Linked DNA regions of Drosophila melanogaster. The protein of the gene in region 1 interacts with the protein of each later gene in a biochemical or structural test. Each region holds a gene or a part of one and is shown on either strand. Other genes may lie near its edges.

Evidence for each region.
Region 2: the proteins of jar (region 1) and Acam form a complex in vitro, tested with the Drosophila melanogaster proteins (2 studies listed by BioGRID).

What each region holds. Positions count from the first base shown.
Region 1 is NT_033777.3:24,265,870-24,274,811, forward strand, and holds the start of jar (jaguar), read right to left. Parts: upstream 5,365-8,942; 5' UTR 5,030-5,364; intron 1-5,029. Other genes in the region: Orct2 (organic cation transporter 2), read left to right, coding at 7,561-8,942. UniProt on the Drosophila melanogaster protein: Myosin is a protein that binds to actin and has ATPase activity that is activated by actin. Together CLIP-190 and jar may coordinate the interaction between the actin and microtubule cytoskeleton.
Region 2 is NT_033777.3:25,809,911-25,815,650, forward strand, and holds Acam (androcam), read left to right. Parts: upstream 1-2,000; 5' UTR 2,001-2,078; coding exon of another isoform or gene 2,079-2,573; 5' UTR 2,574-2,733; coding exon 2,734-3,180; 3' UTR 3,181-3,224; downstream 3,225-5,740. Other genes in the region: CG5024 (uncharacterized protein), read left to right, coding at 1,295-1,792; CG17770 (uncharacterized protein), read left to right, coding at 2,079-2,573; CG14354 (uncharacterized protein), read left to right, coding at 5,648-5,740. UniProt on the Drosophila melanogaster protein: May be involved in calcium-mediated signal transduction.

The DNA of each region.
Region 1 (8,942 bases):
AAACTAAATAAAACCAAAACCAAAGCCCCAACCCAAACCCAAAGCAAATACAATAAATGACCGTTGTTGCCGTTGCCTTTGCTGAATAATTAATAATCATGTTCGTTATGCGCCTATTGTTTTGGCATGCGCTTTGTTATGCATTCTGTTGCATTGCGCAATGCTCCTTGGAAATGGTCAAAATGAGAAAACAGTTAAAGAAATGCACACGCCGGTTAAGGGCAAGCTGCTTGCCATCGGGCTGAAAAGGGAAAAGCTAGTAATTAATGGAAACAACACACAGGTTGTTTATTTGATTTGTCTCGCGGCGTAACTTTAAGATATGTGAAAAGAAGATGATCTACGATCAATTGATTTGGATGAGGAAACTTGTGAGGAAAATTATAAATAATTGGGGAAAACTGAAGCAAAGCGTTGGCAATTAAATGTTATGAGAAAATTTCAATTTGTAACCCCATATGATTTGATTTTATTGAATCTCTATCAATTTAAACCCATCTCAGTTTATGGATTTTCTTGCAGTTGGCATACAAAGTTGAGAAACGCTTTTGTTATCTAACCCATTACCATATTTTCTGACTGGCTCTGCTCGGTGACCCATTTCTTTTGAGAGCCCTTTTGGAATAGCATATTTGTGCCACTTCCCGGTATAAACAAAACCCGAAACAAAGAGTAGGAAAACGAGAAGAGCAAAAAATAATATTGCAAGCGAAACAATTGCCATCATTTCATAACGAAAAAAAAAACAGCTCGTATGCCATTCTACAACGGTGGAAAACCAAAACATCTCAGACACAAAGGAAAATTAAAGCAAAGTCAAAACGAGACGGCGAAACCACGAAAATTGTGTAATAATTGCGACACTTTCCTGGGTTACAACCCATGAACAACTGGAGGCAATTTGAGGCCAAAAGCGCTGAGAAAGAAGCTCAACTCGCAGCCCGTTAGCGAATCGTTCAGTTTTGTGTGGATGAGCATTTCATCGGAATCCAATGGACATTGTTGGCCAGATTGGCATTGTTCAGCCAGAACCGATCTCCTATGAGCCCAAAAACCAGTTGCGTTCGCCATTCCGGCCAGTTCCTTGACCATCTTCCGATATCAATATCAAGTTCAACCAGTCAAGGCGGGCTGCTCACGTGATCCAGGAGCCCGGGAACCGGGTCCGCGAGGATGGAGGCACAGGGACGCGCTAACGGTGCGACAGGTTCAGGTTCGTATTCGGCATCGCGATTGTGCAGCGCGGGGGCTACAAAAGTCAACAGTGCACTGATCAAAAATTTACTAACTTTATTCAATAAGTTTAAAAAGAAGTTTAATCAGAAGTCAACATAAAAAGGGGGTAAGCTGATGTGATGGTAAATAGGTGACCCCAATCAAGTGCAAAGGTGACCCAGACATATGTGAATATACATAATAAAAAGTATCTATATATTATTACCCACATTCTGAAGATGATAATGGAAATTGAATATCATCTCGATAGACACTCCATATTATTCCCGATTTAAGTAGCTGCCTTTCCCTAACTGTAGCGACTGCACGGATTTAGAAGCCATCCGCTGGGCAACCAGTTGAACTTGTTTTAGCCACAGATTTTGCAGCTGCCAGTAGCCACTACCAAATGGGTTCAGAGTGATGAGTCACTCGGGCTAAATGGTCCAACTTGGCCCATCCGAATAGCCCAAAAAAAAACAAAAAAAAAAAAATGTGGGGGGAAAATTGGTCGAAAAGCAATTACACTTGCAACAATAGAAGTTGCAGCTGTAAAATTTATGGCCCGAACGTCACAGGAACAAGAGTTTGCTTCGCTTAACCGAAAGCGGGAAACGCAACGGTGACGGGGCCAGAGTTCACTGTACCGTAAAGCGTTGGCAAGCAAAACGCTGAGCATGCGCAAAAGTCACAACCGAAACAAGTTTTTCGTAGCGTTTTGTTTTTCAATCTTTCTCTGTTATTTTTGCCATCCCTGTCCGATTTTGTTTTTAATTTTTTTTTTCGTATTTTAGTTTAGTTTAAAGTTTTTCATATGCCCCACAAATGCCGAGTCGAGTGCTTTCAGTTGCAGTGCGGGTTCAACGACTTGGAATTGTTAAAAAAAAAAGATGAAGCGTAGAGAAGGGGGATTATGTAAGGCGAAGAAATGACTGTCGATAGTTAAACGTCGAGCAAGTGGAACCAATTAATGCGGACCAGTCAAAAGAAATCCGAAAAAGCCGGAAAACTACCGACAATTGAAAAGCGTTTTTTTTTTTTCCTGTGAGCCAAACGGCAATTAACGCTGCTCGTTTCCTACAATTCGGAGATGCAATTAAAATGCAAATGCTAACCGCTGGCTATCCCACATCCAGACCCAGACCCAGATCCGAATCCCATTTCCATTCCCATTGCCATTGCCATTAACCAAGTCATTTTACAGACGTTGATGGATTTGTGTGACGACCCTATAACTCATTTTCCACGACACATGTTCACAGATTTTCCATATGGTGTGGACCTGCAAGTCGTTACTTTGCACTTGGCGGATATGTGAGCATGGGGGAAAAAAGCATGGATCACTTCGTTTATTTTGGGTCACATTGGGGGCTTTGTGTTAGCCAGCCTTTGTTTTTTTGGGCGGCCTGTGTGTGGTGTTCCCAAATATGTGTTATCGTTTCACACTTAATCTTATCTCAGTTCCCCAGCACAATTACCCGTTTGACGCTAGGCAGAAAAATAAATAGCAGGTAAATATAATTCAGTTTCGTTGTAATGAGAATAATATAACCAAATTTATTGGCCACACAACTAGCAAATTGCAGAAAGTCGAGCCTCTTTCCCATCGAAAACTATAGCTATGCAAATCTATTTTCAGTCCCTTTGTTTTAAATGATTGTTTAACGATTGAAAAGTTATAAATAGACTGACAGTCATTAATCAAACGAAAGTAAAATTTTTTGACAAAAAAGTTGCAGATTATGGGATTATGGATTATGAATTTAAATGTTACTGTAACTATAAAAATGGTCGTATCATTATCATCATACATGATTCACATTAGTTAAGTGGTTGAAGTTTAAGCTTGAAATAATTTATTTATTTAGTGTTTAAAAATGAGTGCTATCTTATCATATTTACAACTGTATTCCGAATATATAGTTTGAATCACCGTTGATATATTTTTGAACAGGAAACTGAAACGGAACTTTCATTGCATATATTGATCCAATATTTTATAAGCACGTGTTGCGTTGGACAAACCAAAAAAAACTAATGTACATGAATAAAACAAGAGGGGCATGTACATAAAAAATCCATCAACGATGCCACGATAGAAGCAAAATACAACTGGAATTATGCTAATCGACTATCAAAACAAAAGCTGCAATTAAACCACACACTCTGGCTGACTTTCACTGCGAATCTTTGAACAATCGTCGGCCGTTTCAGTGTTTCTCTTTTTGTATTATATGCAAATTGGTCTAACGCATCTCGAGCCCAACTGCTGGCCACTCCAAAAAGATTGGTTTGCCTCCATTCGAGAAACTTTGGGCTACATATCTGTATAACCCGTCGAAGGTTCCATATAATTCATATAGGCAGCTGTCGGCGCTGACAATGGACGGCAATGGAGATCAGGATTGTGATCCTGCGATCCTGTCAGCTGTGTGGCGCGTGTTGGGAATTGCTTGCCACCCGGCGAGGGGGAGGTCACGTCGGTTTGAAAGGGGGTTGAACGGGGCTTGAGTGACAGCCAGCACAGGGACAACAACAGGACTTCCTCCAGTGCACCGCAAAGGATCTCGAATTATATGGAATTATATGCGCGACACCCTTGTGCGAATATTAGGTGAAATGATACAGTGATACCTCAATAAATCCATCAAATATTTATTATAAAGTAAAATGTCTTGGTTAAAGGGAAATGCAAATAGGTAAGTTAGTTTTAGCACCCATATAAACATTCTTGTTTGTTTCTAGCCACCGATTCCCGTGAACAAGGACAACATTCCTCACCCCCCCAGAGAAATATAGATACCCTGGCCACATGAAAGGGTATCGACGAACCCGTTTAATTGGCTTTAAAGTGTTCAGAATAGGTTGGGCACGTCTGCAAACATGGACACGCATGCGCAGGAGCGGCGTCCACATCCCTGCTCCTCCAGCTCCTACTCTGCCCCTATTTTCCACATAAATAAACGAAATGTGCCTCGAATGGGAAATCAGACGGCCAGTCAGTCGATCGGGGAGAACGACACTTGTGTCCCTGGTTGACAGGGAAGGGAGGGGGGTGTGGCTCCAAGAAATGTTTGCTCATTTCCGCACTCAATTAAAATGGTCGGGACACAAAACTATCTTTGAGTTTGCTTTAAAAACACAACAACAACAACTGTGAACTGACGACGTTGACATGGGCCCCTGTCTATAAATAGAATTATGTACATACACACACATATGGACACATGGAATAGGGTGCATGGTTGTGGGTGCGGGATGTGGATGAGGATGCGTGGTAGGAGGACAGCTGTGGGAATTGCAGGAATGGTGGTGACATTTGCTGTTGCGACTGCGCACTCCTTTTGTTCGATTTACGGTCACGTTTTCTGTTTGAACCTCCTGTTCTATAGAGAACTAATAATATTGGAGGGCAAACAAAACAAATATGAGTCATGGTTAGAATAAGTTTACCAAAGCCAGAAAAGAGCTAAATTCTATGTAACTACTTGGTATAGAAATTAATAAAATGTAATGATTAATTGTACTTTGGTTTAGTTTATGTGCAAAAAACGATTCCCAGTTGAAAGTACTCATATGTAGGGTGCAGTCACTTCCGCGATTGCTAATCGATTTCTTGTTTGCAACACTGGCATATTGTACATAGGTAACCAATTTTCGTGGACAAGAATGTGCCAATGTCAGGCGGAAAGGCGAAAAGCGCAAGTCAACAGAAAGCAAAAGGCAGCAAATCCGCCTTCACAGGTGACCACCACTCGCTGTCAGGCGGTTATCCCCTTACCCCTATTCCTCCAGAGAGATATTGGCCACTTACCTTAAGACGGCTGGAAATCTGTACGTGCGTAAGTTACTGGCAAATGGGGATTATGTTTCCGGGGACGCACACGAACACATTGATGAAGGCGCAATCCACTTGGAATCGATCTCCTGCGTGGATTTTGTTTGGTTCGAATTTAGAACTTGCAATTTATAGCCACGATACACTATTTCCAAAAGTTTGTAACACTTGAAGTATTTTCAGCTGGGTGTTGTGTTTGTTTGCCTCGGTTTTAACAGTTTAGATTTAAGATTCAAGCGGCGATCGGAAGGCGACCAGCACGAGCGTCTCGAATCGCGTACCGTCGCGTTGGAGAGTCGAGTCGAACTGAAATCAAATCCACAACAATCCACTTTTGGATTTTCGACTTCGAAAAGCAACGGCACCGAAACAACAACAAGCACGCGCAAAACAGCTGACCGCTAGAGGTGCCACCACCGCTGCCGATAGTTAGGGCGCAAAATCTGCCCTGCAGTGTGACCAGAGATTAGTTTTGGCGCTAATTTTAAATATGCGTTACTTTTCAAATCCATAATGGTTAGATGGGTTTTTAAGATACTCATTTTCGTAGATGCAGTAGTTTTTACTTATCCTATTTGTGTAGCCAGTTCTAAACTTAAAGCTTGGAATATGGTAATTTAAGATGCACCGCATATCAGTATATATAAACAGTATACTCTTCAAAAAGATTCACCGCTGATCGTGCTGTTTTTAAGTTTAATTATGAAAGATGCAAACGAAAATGGCCAAGTTTGAATGGAATGGGTTAAGAATGCGGTGTTATCGAGTGGTTCACTCTTCTGCAACACCTGCATCACGACTGGTCCACAGTCGCAGTGGTTTATCCGTCAGAATGTTGGATAGTGTTGTACTCAGTTCTCAGTACTATACTATAATTATTTCAGCAAAGCAAGAAGATTTGGCAACTTTTCAAAATATAGATTTCGATGGCTGCACAACGGTGCGTTCTCATATTCTTGTTCCCTATATATTTTAAGTTTAGTGACGTGGAGCAGGACAATTGGTTCCCACATACCGCCCGTACTCTTTGTAAAAGTTCCAAGAGGGGTTGTTTAATGAATAAAAAGTGAGGTGACTAATTATTTTCCTGTCCTTAACTTTACCAGCTACCACCACCACCTGGATGCATTCTGGGGATCAAATATTCCGCCAGCCTTTGTTGCAAATATTTAGATAAATAACACTAGCGAATGAACGAGAAACGAGTGTGAAATAGGAGCCATTGTATCGTACGATTTTCCGTCTTTGATTTTTCGCTCTCATAATGGGTCAGCGCCCCGCTTATTAATTGAGCTCAATCAGGAGCGTCTTTATTAATTGTCGCAGGGGTATATTGTGTTTTACTAACTATAGTAAGTTATAAGTTATAAGTAAGTATGGTTGAACCCTTCTAACTTTGTAATACTAGATTTCAAAGTTGAAGTTACTTGGTGTACTTGCTTAACTATAAGATATAATTTTCTAATGAAACTAAGTTCTTTTAGCTGATGAAAACTGGTATCTCAACGAACAAGAATGGGTATCTCTTAGTCGCTAGACTCAACTGCGACCATTTCTTTGTATTTTTGCAATACCCGCTTAATTGTCTGTCTGTCGCAGCGCAGCTCAATTGGAAGTGAAAGAGAGCGCGTAGGTCTGAGTGATCGTGATCGCCTGATTGACAAACGACTGCCATCGGATGAGGCATTCGAGTTTCCACTTACCTGGCTTACCTGGCTGCAAGCGGCTGTGCAAATGGAAATTGGTAGAGGCTTTCCCCGTAAGTGGCCGGGGATCGGTGTAATTTGCTACCAAAAACGACTAGGGGTGGCTCCGTACCATGTTAGTCATATCTCCACCTTCTCCTCGTCCGCCTGAAGTGGTTGTATCTGGGTATTGCTATCTTGGTATTAGAGACCCGCTCTCCCGATTCCATATCGATTCCACTGAGAGTGCGCATGCAGCCGGCGTTTGTTTGCCGTTCTTCTTTTCGCATATAACATAAACAGTCGGATATATCCGAGCACCAGAGAGGGTCGGATATATAGCCGCCTTTGCTGTTGTCCCTGTCGGTTGGCATGAGCTATTGTTTTTGGCTTCGGTTTGGTCTTGGTTTGGTTTGGATAGTCAGTTCGGTTTCGTTGGCCTGAGGTGACGCATCTAGATAGCGGGTTGCCGGTTTCTTTCGCGAAGTGCCCTTGTTTTTCCACCGCGGTTTCACTTCCTCTCCCTGGCCAACATATTTGGGCAACACGTGTTGGCCGATAATTGCCGGAACCGAGACGGAGAATTCTCGCTCTCCCTCTCTCTAGGGAGCAAAGTACACGTCACAACGGAGCAGAGAGTCCACTCTATTTCTCGGAAACTTGCGAGTGCGTCGACATCACGAGATTGTGCCAAAAAAGCATAGCGTTTCCGATTTGGTGTTTTATTATACCGGCGCCACTCGACGAAGTCAGTTGCGCGAACGGAATCTAATATTTAGATTCGTGGACTCTGGACAAAAGTGTTGAGTGTGCAGTTTAGCCATGGGCTACGATGAGGCCATCATCCATCTGGGTGATTTTGGACGCTATCAGAAGATCATCTACTTTCTCATCTGCCTAACATCCATACCAGTTGCCTTCCACAAGCTGGCCGGGGTGTTCCTGCTGGCCAAACCGGACTTCCGGTGCGCCCTGCCCTTCGAGAATGGAAGTAGCTACGACTTGCCCACCCACCTGTGGAACCTATCGTATCCGGAGAATGAAAGGTGCTCCTACTACGATGTGGATTACACGGAGGAGTACCTGAATGGCAGCATTCCACGGAGCAGCAACGAAACCAAGACCTGTTCCAGCTACGTTTACGATCGGAGCAAGTACCTCAATAGTGCGGTGACCGAGTGGAACCTGGTTTGTGGCAGGGATTTCATGGCAGCTACCAGTGATTCGCTCTTCATGCTGGGCGTGCTTCTGGGCAGCATTGTGTTTGGTCAACTGAGCGATAAGTACGGAAGAAAACCCATCCTCTTCGCCTCACTGGTCATCCAGGTGCTGTTCGGTGTTCTGGCTGGAGTGGCTCCGGAATATTTCACCTACACGTTCGCCAGGCTGATGGTGGGAGCCACCACTTCCGGAGTTTTCCTCGTGGCCTATGTGGTGGCCATGGAAATGGTGGGTCCGGACAAGCGCCTTTACGCCGGCATCTTCGTCATGATGTTCTTCTCCGTGGGATTCATGCTGACGGCGGTCTTCGCCTACTTTGTCCACGACTGGCGCTGGCTGCAGATTGCTCTAACGCTTCCCGGACTAATTTTCATGTTCTACTACTGGATCATTCCGGAATCCGCCCGCTGGCTGCTCTTGAAGGGACGTAAGGATTGCGCCATTGCCAACATGCAGAAGGCGGCGCGATTCAACAAGGTGGAGATCAGCGATGAGGCTTTGAGTGAGCTGCTCGATGAGGGAGAAAACTCGGAGGAGAAGGCCAAGCAGAAGCTGGAGGATCAGGAGCTGGATGAGGGACCACCGCCCTCCGTGTGGGATCTCTTCTGCTACCCCAATCTCCGGCGCAAGACGCTGCTTATCTTCCTGGACTGGCTGGTGACCAGCGGCGTGTATTATGGTCTCTCATGGAACACCAGCAACCTGGGTGGCAATGTGCTGCTGAACTTCGTCATCTCGGGAGCCGTGGAGATCCCGGCCTATATATTCCTGCTGCTGACCTTGAACCGCTGGGGCCGGCGATCGATCCTGTGTGGCTGCCTGGTGATGGCCGGTCTCAGTCTCCTGGCCACGGTCATCATTCCGCAGCGAATGCACACCCTCATAGTCGCGTGCGCCATGCTTGGCAAGCTGGCCATCACGGCGTCGTATGGAACCGTTTACATATTCTCCGCCGAGCAGTTCCCAACCGTGGTTAGAAATGT
Region 2 (5,740 bases), 1.5 Mb from region 1:
TGAAGTTGTGGTTCCAAAACTGGCATAAAGGGATTTGCACATGAAAACCCTTTGCATGTGTGTCCTGTCCCACTACAGAAATGCAAATTATCCAAATCCCCCAAAGGTCTGTTGCCATTTCGATTGCGGCTCGGCTGTTGCTATATCGTCCTGTTTATGCCTGATTAAAGTCAAACAACAAACATATTCTGAGCTGCATTTACCAGACAATCGTATAAACATATACACATGTGGTCATCAGAATAGAATTTATTAGTTGGGAGATCTACAAATCTGCCAATTATTTTAAGCAAATTGTTTTTACTCTCCTTTAACGCAAACAACTTTTATTTATTTAGTTAGTAGCCCTAATTAATATATTACCTGCTAAGTAATACTTGGAACTATTGTTTTCCATACAAATATATAATCCCGCATCTCTGGCCCGAAAAGTCCTCTCTAATCTATGCAGAGAAATGCTTGACAGTGCCTTGTTGTGTGGCTCAACTTTGGCCCCAATCCTAAATCCTTTGTGTCCTTCGTGGCCAGGATTTGCTTCTCATTACCAAGAAGCCCCCATTGTTCGCTCCACTGGGAGGAGCACGTGTGAGAAAGGTTGATGGCCAGGGACATGGGTTTGTGCAGTTTGGTTCTCGCCTTCTCCGCTCCCAAATTATGCAAATTGCTCGAAATTTTGCATTGGATAATTTCCCTATTTGCCCGTAATGCTCAATAAAAAAAAAAAAAATACAAACACAAAAAACATTTTATGACCCAAGAGACCAACGATGGCAGCAAATGGCTGAGCAGAAAAAATACTGAACAGTTGTATAAATGCACCAACAAAAATAAAAATAATATAAAAACAGAACAAACTGCGACGCATTTAATTAAAAATGTAATTACCCATGCTTTTCAACAGCCACATTGCTCGAAGCGGTAGCCAGAGGCTATGAAAACATTATTCGGAAAATTGTTGCAAATTTAATTGTTAAATCCTGCTATATTTTACTGCGGTGTTACTGCATCACGGAGCAGTTGTAGTTTTTTCCATTTCACAAATTTATCTTACTGAAAATGAGTTTAAGAACCATGTCAGAAAAGAGCGTGGGGCAACTAACAAAAAAAAAATTTTAAAAAACTAACTAGTAATCTTTTGTTGTCAATGCCTTGAATTTTCCACAATTTCAGTCTAAATGGAAAACTGTCAATGAAAAGACAATATTTAAACACAACTATTTTCGAAAAACTAAATTTTAAAATTCATCTTTTCGGGAAATCCAAATTTTAGCCCAAGGTATACTTACAATTTGCCATGGATGACTTTGATTTCAGTAGTCCACCTCCGGAGGTACGAACAGTTCATACCCACACGCTGAATGATGAACAGCTCAAGGATTGTGAGGCGGCCTTCGCCCTCTTCGACGACGATAATGCCAAGGTCATTCCGATCAAGTTATTGAGAGATTGCCTGCGAGCCGTGGCCCACAACCCGCCGGAAAACGAGATACAGGATTATATAACCGAAATTGATACGGATGGATCCGGCGAGCTTTATCTCAGTGATTTCCTATACATCATGTCGAAACGGTACGAGAATTTGACCGTCGAAGATGAAGTTATCCTCGCTTTCAAAGTCTTCGACAAAGATGGATCTGGCTTTATACACGAGAATGAGTTCCGTCAGATAATGACTGAATATGGCGATGAAATGGAAGAGGACGAGATCGAGGAAATGATACGTGATGCCGACGCCAACACGGAACTGAAAATCGACTACGTTCGCTTTGTGACCATGATGATGGAGACGTAACACTCTCTTTGAAAAATAAAAAACATAACCGATTGTAGATCTAATCAATAAATTTCAAAAGCATGGCCAATGGAATCGAAGATCTTGAAATATCGGATACCACCAGTTTGGACTATTCTTTAAAAAAAAAAAAAAGCCAATATACAATAGATAAAATGATAACAAGAGTAGGCTTTTCTTGTTATTAAATTATAAATATGAAGTTGTGAACTAAAGTTTGTCGAAAATTTGTAGTGAGTGTTCAGTGACCCCAAAATTTTCCCACCCCCAACCCCTTCCTTTGGCCATGGATTTCGAATTCCTTACTCCGCCGCCAGAGGAACGGACCATTCGCACCCACAATCTGACCGAAGAACAGGTCAAGGATTTGGAGATTGCCTTTTCCCTGTTTGACGACCAAGACACTAAGGTTATTCCTATAACAAATCTCAGGCAACTAATGCTGTCTGTGGCCCACTATCCCAGTGATATGGAATTGCAGGAAATTCAGGCCGAGATCGATGCTGATGGATCCGGTGAGTTATATCTCAGCGATTTCCTTCACATCATGTCTCAGAGGTACGCAAACATGTCTACCGAGGATGAAATTATAGCTGCATTCAGAGTCTTTGACAAAGAAGGAACCGGCTTAATATCTGAATCGGAATTTCGTCACATAATGCAGAACATGGGGGAGCAATTGACGGATGATGAGGTGGAGGAGATCATCCGTGATGCAAATTCTGATTTGGAAGGCAATATAGACTATGTGCGATTTGTCAGAATGATGTCCACTACATAAGGAAAAAGCAGGCTTTAGGGGTTGGGAACCCGACCTGTCAGTATCAGTATCATCAAAACAGTTTCGGCTCATTCCCTTTCGTAAATTCCAACAGTCTATAGCTCTGCAAGCATTTAAAAATATCTCGATAAATACCGAAAATCTTTGAAAATTTATCAAGATGTCCGAACTAACGGAGGAGCAGATTGCCGAGTTCAAGGATGCCTTTGTCCAGTTCGACAAGGAGGGAACCGGCAAGATCGCCACCCGTGAGCTGGGCACATTGATGCGCACCTTGGGCCAGAATCCAACGGAGGCCGAGTTGCAAGATTTGATAGCTGAGGCCGAGAACAACAACAATGGCCAACTGAACTTCACTGAGTTCTGCGGTATAATGGCCAAGCAAATGCGGGAAACTGACACTGAGGAGGAAATGCGTGAGGCATTCAAGATTTTTGATCGTGATGGCGATGGCTTTATATCACCAGCTGAGCTTCGCTTTGTGATGATCAATCTGGGCGAAAAGGTCACCGACGAGGAGATCGATGAGATGATTCGCGAGGCTGATTTTGATGGGGATGGCATGATCAACTACGAGGAATTCGTATGGATGATAAGCCAGAAGTAGTACAGCTACTTTAAATGAAATAAAAATATTTGGGGTCACTGCATAAAAAAAATCGTGTATTTCTCTTCAAAAAATACAATTTACACTTCTCTGCGGTCTAACTATTTTCGAACACTTTTTAATACGCCCCCAATTATTTCAATTATATTTTTGCGGTGTGCTAGTTTTTCCTTTGCCTAATTCGGAGACCGAGAATTTTTCAAGCATGTCCTGCTCTTAAAAATGTTTGATGAAGGCACCCCATTTCGGTAATTGTGGTTGGTTTAAGGAATTTTCGCCTCGCCTTCTTCAGGTGAAAACTTTCAGCATGAAACACTCGACGTGGTTTTAGTCCGCCTTTTCGTTTCCCTGGCAAGTGGTTTTTGCTTCCACATGCGGCACCTTTGTGGCCAGACGAACAATTTTCCTGTTGCTTAAATTCAATTTGCTTATGCATTAAAATTAAATTTTACTGTGGCCTCAGCGGGCCCGGCTCGTACTCCTTGCTGGAAGCAACCTCTTGGGGTCTTTGGGGCTTGTGTCTGACTTTATAAATATTTCGTGTGTGTTGTGTACGCGCATGTATGAATTTTCAATTTTTTGAACAAGTTTCGGTTTCAGTTCAGACATGTCAAAATGTCAACTTGCTTAATTGAGAGTCCGCAAAACATCGAGCATCGCATCGCATTGCATCGCATTGCATCGAATCGAATCGAATCGAGACCTTAACTTCAATGTGCATTCGCATGGAATAAGAACAAAAGCCCAAGCAGATTCCAATTTCAGATCTGACATCAATAAGCACTTACAGTGGCATAAATATTATATATACTCGAGAGCTGGCAAATATATATGTCTATATGCGGTTCAAACACCAGAACGACATCGGCACTTCGCCACCTCGCCGCATAGACGAGTTGGTTTTCAGCTTCAGTTTTCAGTTAGCAGCAGGCACAGGACATGTTCGATGGACTGGCTGCAGAGGAAATTGAATTTGTGGGCAGGACCTCCCTCCCTAGACGGTTCATCCGATGGTGTCGGCGACGGGGCAGTGGGCTCTGCAATATCGAAGAAGGATATTTGAGTGGCAAGTAAATCAGAAATAAGAAAGAAAACACATCGTATACAAGGGAGCTCTCTTTGAGTTTGATCTATGTGTTTTTCGCAAAGACCAGACATTCAGAAAATTGATGTGTTTGTTTTCATTCTCCAGCCTTTAAGACATCATATTTCTCACAGAAACTATGCCTTCGGTTTTTTATGAGGCTATTTCAACTCCGTTTTGGTTGATCCATACACTTGGAAACACTGATATTGACTTTACTTTGAGACAAACTCGTTATTGCGATATTCATAGTTCGTAAGATTAATGCATTTAATGCATTACATATGCATATGCATACATATTCTAATATTTTTATCTTGCACACAATTTTTTTTTAAGTGTATGGCAAAAAGAAAGCATTCTGCTGGCATGCATATGAATTTCTTCTAGGATACTTTTTTTATGCGGTTTGCCGCCCACGTTCCGCACTTGGAGTGTCATTTTTGAGTGGAGTCGGTATGTGCGTAGGATGGGGCAGTGGGTATTGGTATGGAACACTTCCGCACAGGCACTTGAATACGCAAAAAGGCGAATGCAAGTGACGAGGTCCATGAACAAGGCCGAGAGTGTGTCCTGGCCGAAATACGGACTTTTGCGCCAGGGGACGACTTTGGTAAACAACCGCACTCTGGTCAAATTTGGACTGTGGTCCTGGCCACATATATACACAGTTTAAGCAGTTAAAGTTATCTGTTATCTCTAATTGAGAGAGAAATGTGTGTGCGTGTGTGGGGGCTCAAATTTAAAGTTGTTGATTTTATTACGCATACGCCTAGTGGCTCTAGCCATGGCCTCTTATGTTGGCCGTAACAAACTTGCCCGCTTAATGGCGCAGCTTTTTCGGGTCCTCAATCAAATGGTAGGAAATGTCGGGGCTTTCGTCATGGGAAGCCGGCAAAAACCCTTTTCGGATTAACAGATCAACGCACAAATGACCCGAGCAATCGTCTTGGGTTTTCCCAGTTTTTTCCTTCTTGATTTTCCCTGCCATTCCGATAAGGCTGGAAGCTTATCGGGGCTGAAGGACTTTGACGACCCAATTAATTCTTGTTCAACAACCGGCCGAAAAAAAAAATTGTTGCCACATGCATTGTTAGTCTACTTTTCATGTCAAGGAAAAGCGACGGCTGAGAAAAAAAAAACTAAGTGAATAAGGTACAAAAGAAAATAAAAATGAGAAACTCGTGAACGTTAAGTTAAATTGCGCGGAAAAGTTATGCGTCCCCGTTACCCAGAGTTTCTCTAACAAAAAAACTTTGTTAAACATTTTATTCCCTAGAACGCTTGCCACGTTGGCTTAGCGGAACTACTTGAAATGTAAAAATGTTCGAGCCTTGAGTTGAAAAGGCAAACTTGGCAGCAACTTTGAAGGTTCACATAATTATGCGCATTGCCTTGCCACGGCTCCTGTGCCACATCCTTCTCTATCACCTGCTCATGATCTCGTCCAGCCTTGCAGCCTGCTACCAACGTCAT